Regions from separate parts of the Mus musculus genome. Here region 2 is reported to be linked to region 1. Evidence: microRNA targets listed by miRTarBase, many of them from high-throughput screens and not tested one by one. Region 1 holds a microRNA gene; the other region holds the end of a gene's coding sequence.
The links. Region 1 holds the annotated microRNA mmu-miR-34b-3p (AAUCACUAACUCCACUGCCAUC, at 2,899-2,920, opposite strand). A microRNA usually pairs through its seed, bases 2 to 8, with sites in the 3' UTR of a target mRNA and lowers its output. Matches are read on the target gene's strand: a 7mer-m8 pairs with bases 2 to 8, a 7mer-A1 pairs with bases 2 to 7 and ends in A, and an 8mer does both.

Region 2: miRTarBase lists Pof1b as a target of mmu-miR-34b-3p. Seed matches in the 3' UTR shown: 8mer at 1,193-1,200, 7mer-A1 at 1,353-1,359, 7mer-m8 at 2,006-2,012 and 7mer-A1 at 2,085-2,091.

What each region holds. Positions count from the first base shown.
Region 1 is chr9:51,100,676-51,106,062 of GRCm38, forward strand. It overlaps Mir34b (microRNA 34b), which reads right to left and starts at 2,970; the gene lies at 2,887-2,970. It overlaps Hoatz (HOATZ cilia and flagella associated protein), which reads right to left and starts at 1,403. Exons shown (of 6, transcript NM_177702.4): 1 at 1,070-1,403; 2 at 379-417. The coding sequence starts at 1,295. Mir34c (microRNA 34c) reads right to left here and starts at 2,435; the gene lies at 2,359-2,435. It also overlaps a transcript of Btg4 not described here.
Region 2 is chrX:112,635,487-112,640,873 of GRCm38, reverse strand. It overlaps Pof1b (premature ovarian failure 1B), which reads left to right. Exons shown (of 17, transcript NM_181579.1): 17 at 433-2,447. The coding sequence ends at 438. Among named protein-coding and RNA genes, the nearest start is that of Zfp711, 37 kb to the right of the region's middle.

The sequences.
Region 1 (5,387 bases):
ACCAGGGATGCTGGGGAGAAAGTCCCTGAGGGGTCAGGGATGCTGGAGAGAAAGTGCCTGTGGGACCAGGGATGCTGGGGAGAAAGTGCCTGTGGGACCAGGGATGCTGGAGAGAAAGTGCCTGTGGGGTCAGGGATGCTGGGGAGAAAGTGCCTGTGGGACCAGGGATGCTGGAGAGAAAGTGCCTGTGGGGTCAGGGATGCTGGGGAGAAAGTGCCTGTAGAGTCAGAAAGTTATCTTCTGGGTGAGTATGTGAGCCCTGAAGCAAGGTGTGGGATATGCAGCTTAGTTATATCACAGTGTAAATGTATACTTCTAGGAATTCTAAGATAATCTGGGGAGTCTACATATAAAAAGGCATTAAAACTTGATACTTACTGTCCTGATCAAAGGGAAAGGGCTGGACAGAACTTTTCTCTAAGAAATACAAATGAAGAGAAAGTTATTGGAAAAGCTGACATGAACAGTATTTTAATTTCATATACCTATTAATATTGAATAAGAACACTTTATACATCCTTGGCCCGAAGGCTTGTCAGTCAGGAAACAGGGTTCCTAAATTAGACTCTGCCAACAACTTTTTCTTGGGCTTTTAAATTTGAATTCAATTTTATGTAAATGCTTTCCTAATCTAAGCACCATTTCCTTAGATTAACCCATCCTCTTTGCCAAATAAAAGCCATCATTTAAGGGACTCTTAGAATTTTTTTTTTTTTTTAAGATTTTCATTTTATTTATGTGAGTACACTGTAGCTGTCTTCAGACACACCAGAAGAGGGCATCAGGTCCCATTACAGACGGTTGTGAGCCACCATGTGGTTGCTGGGAATTGAACTCAGGACCTCTGGAAAGCAGTCAGTGCTCTTAACTGCTGAGCCATTTCTCCAGCTCTAGAATGAATTTATATGTAACAATGAGATCCTTTACAGTGGAGAATTGCAGCAGTTTTAGAATTGTTTGTGTATTTGCATATACCTATTACTGCCTGTTTCTGCTTGTTTGTACTTCTCAATTGACTGACAATTAGACCAGGCAGTTTCCCCTTCCAGGAGGTAGCCTTGCTACTCACCTCTCAGAACGACTTTAGAGTTCCGCGCCACCGGTAGCCTCTGACTGCTGCCTCGGGTCAGCACGAGCTGAGATTCGGTAGTGGGGTACATGGACGCCCCGAGCCAAAACTGCTTAGCCAAATTGGCATCCTGCTCAGAGCAGCCGGTGAACACCAGTAATCCAGGGGAGCAGATTTCCTGGGATTCCTTCCTGCCGCTAGGACAGCCTCTGGGCCCCGTTTCCATGGTGACTCAGGACGCTTTCCTTAGCTCTGGCGTCCCGCCCCTACCGGAGAACCGTCCTGTTGGTAACTGCCACCACCGGAATGCCTGTGTTTCTTCTTCCGTAGATCTGGGGTTCCTCGAGGGCTTGTGGCCCATCAGCAGCTGGCTTCTGTCGAGGTCACAATTTTCGGGGCCAGTCAAGCCTTAAGAGTAAAAGCCTCAACTTTGTGATGTGTACAGTCCTGGACTGTCTCTTAGATCCTCAGCCAGCGTCTCCTCCTCCCCCAGATAGCCCAATAATGTGAGCTTTAAAGAGCGCCTTCCTCTTTTGGACAAGATTGCCAAGGCTTCGCACTCTTACCTCTGGGGAAATTCTCAGGTTTGCATTGATACATCTGCATAAAGCGCTAATCTAGAACTGGGCCGAGAAGTACCGGTGGATACAGCTTGTGTGATTTAAAACCTCTCAAATCTTTTATTACAGATATTAGGAAACCAGCTGGTTTTAAATCGTGTTCACTAATTATTCCCACGAAAAGTTGCCTAGAACGCAACTGTTAATACCTTAAAAAATATACCTGGTTAAGTGGGCTGAGTTCCCTTGCCCCATGGAAAATTATGAAAACATTTAACGTTCCCTTCCAGGTCACAATCATGTGTGAGACGTTTCCCTGGAGATTTTGTCTGTATAGCAACTAACCATTTAATGACTTTACGGGGTTGACAGGAGCTGAAATGGAGATCCTAAAGCCAGTTTTTGGAAAGGAAATGAACACGATTGCTGAGATTTTCGTGGCGCTTTATTTTTTAGAGTGTTATTAATATGTCAGGCAAAGTCCAAAGATTTATAATCACAAGTCAATATAATGACCAAATCAGCTAAGGGATAATTTCTATTTTTCCAATATATCTAAAAATCACAAAAAATGTACCCCACACAAATTGATACATTGTATACTTAGCAGCTAAGGGCTAGCGGTTCCCCCCCCCCCCCCAAACCACTAATAGTATGGTAAGAATATTTCCCTATGGCTCTGTCCTCACCAAAATGACGATTCACAGGAGGCTCAGTCGGAGGAATTTCAGTCTTTTTACCTGGCTGTGTGGTTAGTGATTGGTACTATTAGCAATCAGCTAACTACACTGCCTAGTAACTAGACTCAGAAAAAAGCATGCAGTCTTTAGCTGGTGCTCTCAGACTTTGGTGTGACCAGAGCAAATCGTCAGCCAAGCTGTGGTTGACTCTAGTCGCTGCCTTGGTGATAGCTTTCTCAGAAGTGGAAATCAGGCAGTGAATCACAGCAGCAGCAGGAACTGTTCTGGGGGGGGGGGGGGGGGGGCTCTTCCTGGCCTTTTTTTTTTTTTTTTTTTTTATGTTAAGGCCGGTGTATACCGATTCTCTTTACACATCACTGAACCGTTTTTGCTCTGGCTCTTACACACAGGTAGCCGAACGGTCCCTAAAGGAGGCCGCCGGTCTCCGAGGGTTACTTGCACTTAGACCTCGTGCTCCCGGCCCTTTGCTGACGCATCCTGGCTCCGGCCTCGGCTTTCTGCGGAGTCAGTGGGGCTGCAGCGCTGGCTTCTCCTCCCGCGGGCGGCGGGTGATGCTGTGCCTTGTTTTGATGGCAGTGGAGTTAGTGATTGTCAGCACCGCACTACAATCAGCTAATTACACTGCCTACAAACCGAGCACCGGGCGCCCGCCACTGCAGCTCCCGAGGGTCGGGCCCCTCGCCCCCTTTCGCCACGGTCGACAGGCGAGGGCGGCGGAGCGAGAGGTGCCTCAGGCTCCCGAGGCCCCTCCACACCCAGCAGGGCCGCGCGCGACCCCAGGTGAACCCCCAGGCGCTGAGGCCCCCTGTCCCCGCCGTCCCCCCCGAGACCCCCGACTCAGCCCGGACCCCAGGGCATCCGGCCCGAGTCCTTCTTCCCGCAAGCCGGGTCTGACCCGCCTCCAACAACTTCTTCACGGCTTCCAGACCCAAGTCTAGAGCCGGTTCTGTCCAGCCCGCGCGCCCCGCAGCTCCTACTGGCCGAGTGACCGTGGCTCAGCGACCAACCGCCCTTGGAACCCCGAGGCCGAGGGGGCGGGGCGAGTGGGGGAGGGGTGGCAGAAGCTACCAGAAGGGGCAATGGGAGGGCTCCTGCAGAGCCTCCTGGGAAGGGGCCGGGGAGATGGAGAGACAGATTCTTGAGAAGTTTATCTTCACAGTGTAGTTACTGCTACATCGAAGAAAGAAGCGCAGAGACCTACATCCATCTCTCCTTCCCAATATATTGCCCAAGAAGCCCCAGGCCTCCTCACTGTTCATATGCCCATTCTCAGAAACCGCTTCCCAGGCGTCTCATCTGGAGCCTTCCTGCCTGAGCAGGCCTGGGCACTCATACCTGCAGGATTGCCCTTGCCTGTACCCAAGTTCTTTCTTAGGACTACCTCTTACAGGGCCATACAGTGAAGTGTGGGCCACTCTTCTGGTCAAACATTGAACCAACACCCTTGTTGGTAGGTCAAAGTTGTGGCCCTTATAAGATCAAAGACACAGTTTTGATGATCTCCCCGTGAGCCTTGAGGATATCTAGTCTCACTTTGGGCTCCTGTTTTATTTAAATGTTACAAATCCAGCACCTAACAGGCGTTTGTCTTACTACCCATCAGACAGTCTAGGTGGTAACAAAATGTGAACACATTATTTATTACTCCAGACAGTATAAAGTTGCTAAACTGATAGATTTTCCTAATAGAAAAAAACAGGTATGGGTGGGGGTGGGAGGTGTGCCAACAAGAGCTGACAGACACCATCATGGAGGAGGTGAGAGTTCAGGTAGATCCTTGAAGCAAGGGTAGATTTGGACATTAAGGATGAGGTCTGTAGAAGCCCGAGAAGCCATATCTTCTGTCAGTTACATTCCCCTTGTTTTTGCTATTTTATATCTGATAACGGGGTGCGTGTTTGTGTATATTGGGAATAGGAGGCGCTGAGGGGACAGCATTTCTGCGCCATCTTCACTAATATTTCTTTCCTTTAGTCTTTCCTCTCCTTTCCTTTAATTAATTGAGCCCAGAGAGGATATACAGTATTCTCTGATTGCAAACTTTGTGGAATTCAGTAGGAAGTAGCCGTCCCAGACTGTGGTCTTCCTGTATGCTGTATGACACCCATTTGTATTGATCCAACAGTCTTGCAGTCTACAAAGGGACATTTCTTAGCTATACACTGATACCTGTAAGCCCAGCAAATGGTCTTGTAGATGCCACTAATTACATGAATATATGCCAATCATCAGGAACATTCAACACAAATTCCAAGTGGAAACCATTAAAACCCAAGAACTTCCCAAGAATAAACTTGTGTATATTTTAACATTATCTTTGAAAGTAAAAGACAATGTTTTTTTCCTTCAGAGTCATTGTTTTATGAAGGCTTAAGTGAAAGGAAAATGAAGTAGAAAATGCCAGATTATTATAAAATTAACTTATGAAAGACATTTGTAAATAACTATCTTGTATTCAGTCTTCTTGTATTTGAGAAAAGTATAATGTATCCTACAAAAGGTCATTTAAACGTTCAAATATAAATAAAAGTAGTAGAAATAGCCTCCATCCCATAAACACTATGAAGAGTTACAAGTTTTAGGAGGACATCATTAAAAAATCATTTATTTTGCATTTTGCTCAATTTCACTCCATGTGTCATGCTTCCACCCAGCTTAGGGATTTTCTCTATTAGTAGCATCTTAAATATCTTACCTGAGTTTTATTGCTTCCATCCAAAGCTATCATTGCATAAACTGTCTTGAAATTTAGACTAAATTTTTTTCTTCAATGATAAAAAGTAAAATGATGAAAAAAAAATGCGTGTGCCCTAGTTCTGTTAGAAAGCAACAATAGAAAAGAATGTCTGTTCTTAGGGTTGCTGTTGATCCTGCCCACAGTTACTAGAGAAACTCCAAGGATCTTATTGCATCTGCTGGTCATGCCTAGGCATGTCTAGAGACCAGGGAGACTCATGTTTTAATCTAAGTAAGAATGCCTGTGGTGTGGTTAAAATGCCCAAGCAGACCATTACATTTGGTTAGATAGATCCAGGAAGGCACCTTGAGGAGGAGCTG
Region 2 (5,387 bases), not on the chromosome of region 1:
CCAATTGCTTGACTACATGCAGTGACAATATTTTATGTGGAATTGAAGGGTCTAGTATAGCTATTTCTTCTGTCTGCAATGAAATACATAAAGTTGGAAAGCTGTATAGAGGAAGAAGTTCCAAATTATTCAATAAGTTCATAAATGATAGAACTGTATTTATTGACTCACATATTTCACCACATATTTAACCTTTAAATATGACAATAAGAACAAAATTACCCAATCTCCATCCCCCTTGCTTTACAGTCATTTAAAACACATTCCTTAAGTTGGAGATTATCATTTTATTGAATATTCTATAAAATAGTGTATAAAAGTGAGATACATTTCTGTTAGCAGTATACATACCCAACTGAATATTTTTAGTAACTATGTACATGTAAAAAAATAACTGTGAACCAATTTTAAGATGTATTTTTTCTTTTCTAGCCATGAATGGACCCATTCTACAATACTACAACCCAAAGGAAATTTTCTTTGTCTGCATCAGTATTTTAATTGTTATTTTTCTATTGCTAATGTGCAATCAAATTGTGAATCATGTTACTACGCCATGGATCTAGTGGGACGATTTAATTCTAGAGATGAGTTCCCCCTCATTCAGGAGAACTGAGTCTTTAAAAAAAACACACACACATTGATGTATTTGAAATTTAACACCGTGCAAATGAGAGAAAAAAAATGACCTTTGTGTTTAAACCCTGGTTGCAGACAGTGTAGAACCTAACCTGTTATTTTTATATAGGGTGCTTCCTATATGTTGAACTTATTCATACAATAGAGCCTTTACAAGTTATTCTATTATGTTAATGTGCAACTTAGCTATAGGATTCAGTCCTGTTTTTCAGCAAAACAGAGGCAATTAAATTTTAAAAAATAGGCTAACTAGAACATAAAATATACAGCCTTACTTTTCTCACATTAAGCTTGTGACTAATAGGAGTACAGCAGTGCTAACATATCTTGGAAACAGCTAAGTCAAAGGTGGAGGTTAATTTTGTTAATCATGGAAATGAGCTAATATCTTTTAAATAAATGCATTAATTGAATTATACATAGTTCTAAGTACATGTCAGTGCCTGGGAAAATCTGTTCTTTCAAAACATATTTTCTGCAAGTGGTCCAATTCACTTTGTAAAAAACGCAATACTGTACTGTAGTAGTGGGCATAAGAATGTAGAATTTTTCATAGTGATATACAGACATAACATTGCTATATTGCATAGTCATAAAATCTTTAACAAAAATAGCAGTAAAAGATACTTGATAGCTGTATCTTGGAGAATATTTTATAGTAGAGTCTTTGATGTAGTTAGAAATTTGTTACTTGAATTGTAATGGCGTTACAAAGTGATACAAGTATTTGTTTATTATATTATAAATAAGGAAGTTTCATAATATAACCCAATCAAAAGGTACAAAACATTGCTCATCAAATTAGGATTAAGGTAACAAATATATTCAGTTTACATGTTTAGTTCATAGTTTTGTACTAAAATATCTACAGAAACCTTTATAAAATTCTTCAATGCTTTATAAGCATATTCTAATTATTCTAAGAAGCAGTTAGTATAAGCATGGCTGTGGCACTATATGCACTAGAACTATGAGTTAGAAATATTTAAAAGGTCTTGATATGAAATTGAGTCTTATTTATATTCTTATAACACTTAAGATAAACATTAAGTTCTCTAACATGAATAAAATTTCTATTTTATCAATATTTTATGATATAAAATGTTAATGTTTCATATTTTTACAATTCCCCTCTATTTTCTGGACAGACAAGTTCTCTCCTCTGATAGATACCCATATATGCAATTATGGCAAAAGTGTATTGTTTTTGTCTATTACAAAAGTTACAATGGAATGCTTTAATTACCTTGACAGAAAAATGCCATAATTACAGTTTGAAAATGAGAATGTCTTTTTCAAAATTACAGAAAACTAATAATATCCAGAATTAAAGAGCAATTAAGAAGACAGTCTGTTTGATCTAAGATAGTGATTTAGAGTCATATAAATGTTTCCCATTTTTTTTTTACCAACGTTTTAAGATCAATAGAAATAAGAGGAATAAAAGTGATATTAAATTATACATTTAGTTCTGGAGATGGGTTCCCCCAGTCATTCAGGAGACCTGAGTCTGTTTTTTATACATTGATATATTTGATATAGCAACACGCAAATGAGAGGGGGAAAAACCTTTGTGTTTGAACTCTAATTGCAGGCAGTGTAGAACCTAACCTGCTATTAGGGTGCTTCCTATGTTCATCAATTCTGTGTAGTTACTCAATGAAAACTCTAGTGTCATCAGGTGAAGATGTCCATTCATCTCATTTCTATCTCTATATGTTTTCACTTCAGATTTGTCAAATAAAATGGAAACTGGAGAGTGTCATACAAAATATTCTTATGTATCTAAATAAAATATGTTAAGCATCTGTATTGTCTTTGTGAAACTTCAAATAGAAAGAACTTTAGCTTATCTTCCTATTTTACCAGGAAATATTTTATCCTTTGAATGTTTATATAGGAGCTATGAGGCAATTTTGTAAAACAAGCACAAAAGAAAATTCTTCTTGATATAGCCTACACGAGGTAGAACTTTAACAAAAGTTTGACATCCAGCTGGTGCAAAATTTAGTTTTCTAAGCCCACACATGGTTTTCTAAGATATTTTCTTCCCATCTTGGTACTGGTACTTTAGCCATATTACTTTTTTCAAATTTGAACAATATGAAAAGAGTGCAACTTTTAAAAATATTTAACTATCAAATTTACATCAGTTTAACAAAAGTCTGTCTTTGCATTTCTTTCTTTCTCATTATTGTAATTTATAAAGATTACATTTCTTTAGAAAATAGAAATTCTTTTGAAAGTAAATGTTTTCAAATGATTTCCTCAAATGACCCATCTTCACCAGGAAACACTGTTACAAAATTTACTTGATTTTGTAGTAATTTTTGTTCAACTGAAAAAATACATTATTTCATGCTTACTCTAGGATAAATAGTAAAAATAGTATTTCAGTAAAGAGTATAATAAGCACATCTTTCATTGATAAAAGTGCCTAATATTTACTCCAGAACAAGACATAACTTTTTATTCTATAAAGGAATAGTGGGATTGTTATGTGACGCAATTACACGATAGACAGTATCAATTGCCATTCTCAGTAATTTTCTTGAATTCATCTTATTAATAATGTGCTTATAAACAAGCAGGCATGGTGGCATATACCTTTAATCCCAGTACTTGGGAGGTAGAAACAAAAAGATCTCTGAGTTTGAAGACAGCCTAGTCTAGAAAATGAGTTCCAATATAGCAAGGGCTACACAAAGGAACCATGTCTCAAAAATTTGTTTTAAACAAAAGGTGCTTTAAACTCCCTGGGGCCTCCTGTCTCTTGAGAGTTAGGTGCATCATCTCTGAATGAACATAGACATGGAGGTCCTCTACTGTATGTGTGTTGGGGGCTTCATATTAGCTGGTGTATAAACCTTGTTTTCCCATCCCAACATATTAAATGTTTTGAAATTCATGCTACAGATATCCTTTGGGTGGGGGGGAACTTTACAATATAATGCCTCATTTCTATACCGTGTTTGCTAATACAATCAGTGAATACTCTATATGGCTCAAGAACCTAAAAAGCAAACCAGTATATTTAAATGAAAGAATATATAGGTATTTTAATGTAGTTTCCTAAAGGAGTCCAGTGAGACAATCATATTGTGGAAAATATCTGTTCCTAGGATAAGAGTTTGTAAATCAGATGGGAGGTGAATAAGACTTGCAAAATTACTATCAGTAATGCCAACTTTTCCAATTTTTAATGAAACAAAATTCCCTTTAGAATACTTACTTGCAAATGTAACATTTATTCACCAGATATAATTTTCACCTCATAGCTTACTGCTGAATAAGCTCACCCTTCCTAGTTCTTTCTGAACTCTGGCTGGCTGATTAAACTGAGCTGTTCTAGCTCAACACTCTCCAAGCTGACTAATTCAAACTGGCTTCTCTCAGATGCTGACTGAATTTCTTTGTCCTCAAACTAACTCTGCTGAGCATCACTGCATGGACTTTACAAAGTGATCTCAACTGAACTCCATTGAATTGCCTAGACTCAAGTGAACTTCACTCACTGAACTTCCCCCACTCCAGACTCACACTGCACTCCTTCAATTAGCCTCTCTTTCCTGTCCTCTTGCAAGCTGGGCATCTTATCTCTGACCCATTCTGTGAAATCTTTCTCAGTTTCATCACTTTATCTTCCCCTTTATAAAATTTCACTTTCGAAAAAGGTTGCTTCCTTCTACAAACTAACTTTACCTTCATTGTTAGGGGAATAATATAAATGAAACAAGCTTTGTCAAATAATGTTAATCATTAAAGATGTTAAAATGTCTAAGTGGGTCCTGAAAATTACTCTTGAATTTGTATATATATATAAATTTTATGAATGGTACAAAGCTGATATTGAAAGTTTTCCTGTTTGAGACATGAGTAGAATTTAAGAGCTCTTTCTGGGAAAATAATTCCCAGATACATTGTTCATACCATAGACCACTTAAAAGTGAGAGTTGAGTGAATCTATCTGCACACGATGGCTATGAACTAGTCTGTGAAAGGAACTTTACAGTTAAGTCCCCTACAGGTATTTTAGGGTAGTCATGTGCCAGGGAAACCTGTTCTTTTAAGGACATTTTTTAGTTTATAATGTGACTTCTATTTCGTTTGCACTGAAGTTTCTTTTAGGGACTATTTATAAGTAAAGAAATAGATCTTATTTAGTTCAATTCTACTATAAACACAAACACCTTATATGGTACCTTACTTCCCCCAAGAACTGTGATAAAAAGTCTTTACATTCTCCAAAATGATCTTCAAATATAAACAACGACAACAAAATGTGTTCCATTCTTTTAAACCTACAATGATTTTCTACTAGAAACTTCTAAGACTCCCATCTCTTATGAGTCCTACTCACTCAATGTCTCACAACAGGTTATTTTATCTCAGGTTGTTTGTATTTACAGGTTTCCTTTCCTTGTTCTCAGTGGCATGTCCTTAATAGGGATTTTCTTTATCCACGTACCCAGTTATTTAATCAAGAGCAGCACAGTTTTCTGGACTAATACTTGATGCTTTTTACCTAACACTTATTACTCAAAAAGCACAGCAAGTGAACTTGCTAGAAGTGTAAAACTTTAGTTACGACAACTAAATTCAAATTAATAAGATCGCTAGGTGAACCTTATAATTTGTGGAGCACTAGTCTAATGTATGAAGGTAAGAGATTTCTTCTGCTGCTAATGGGCTTTAAAGAATAATCATTCAACTGGTAAGTGTTTAACATATATGGCAGTATGATTCCT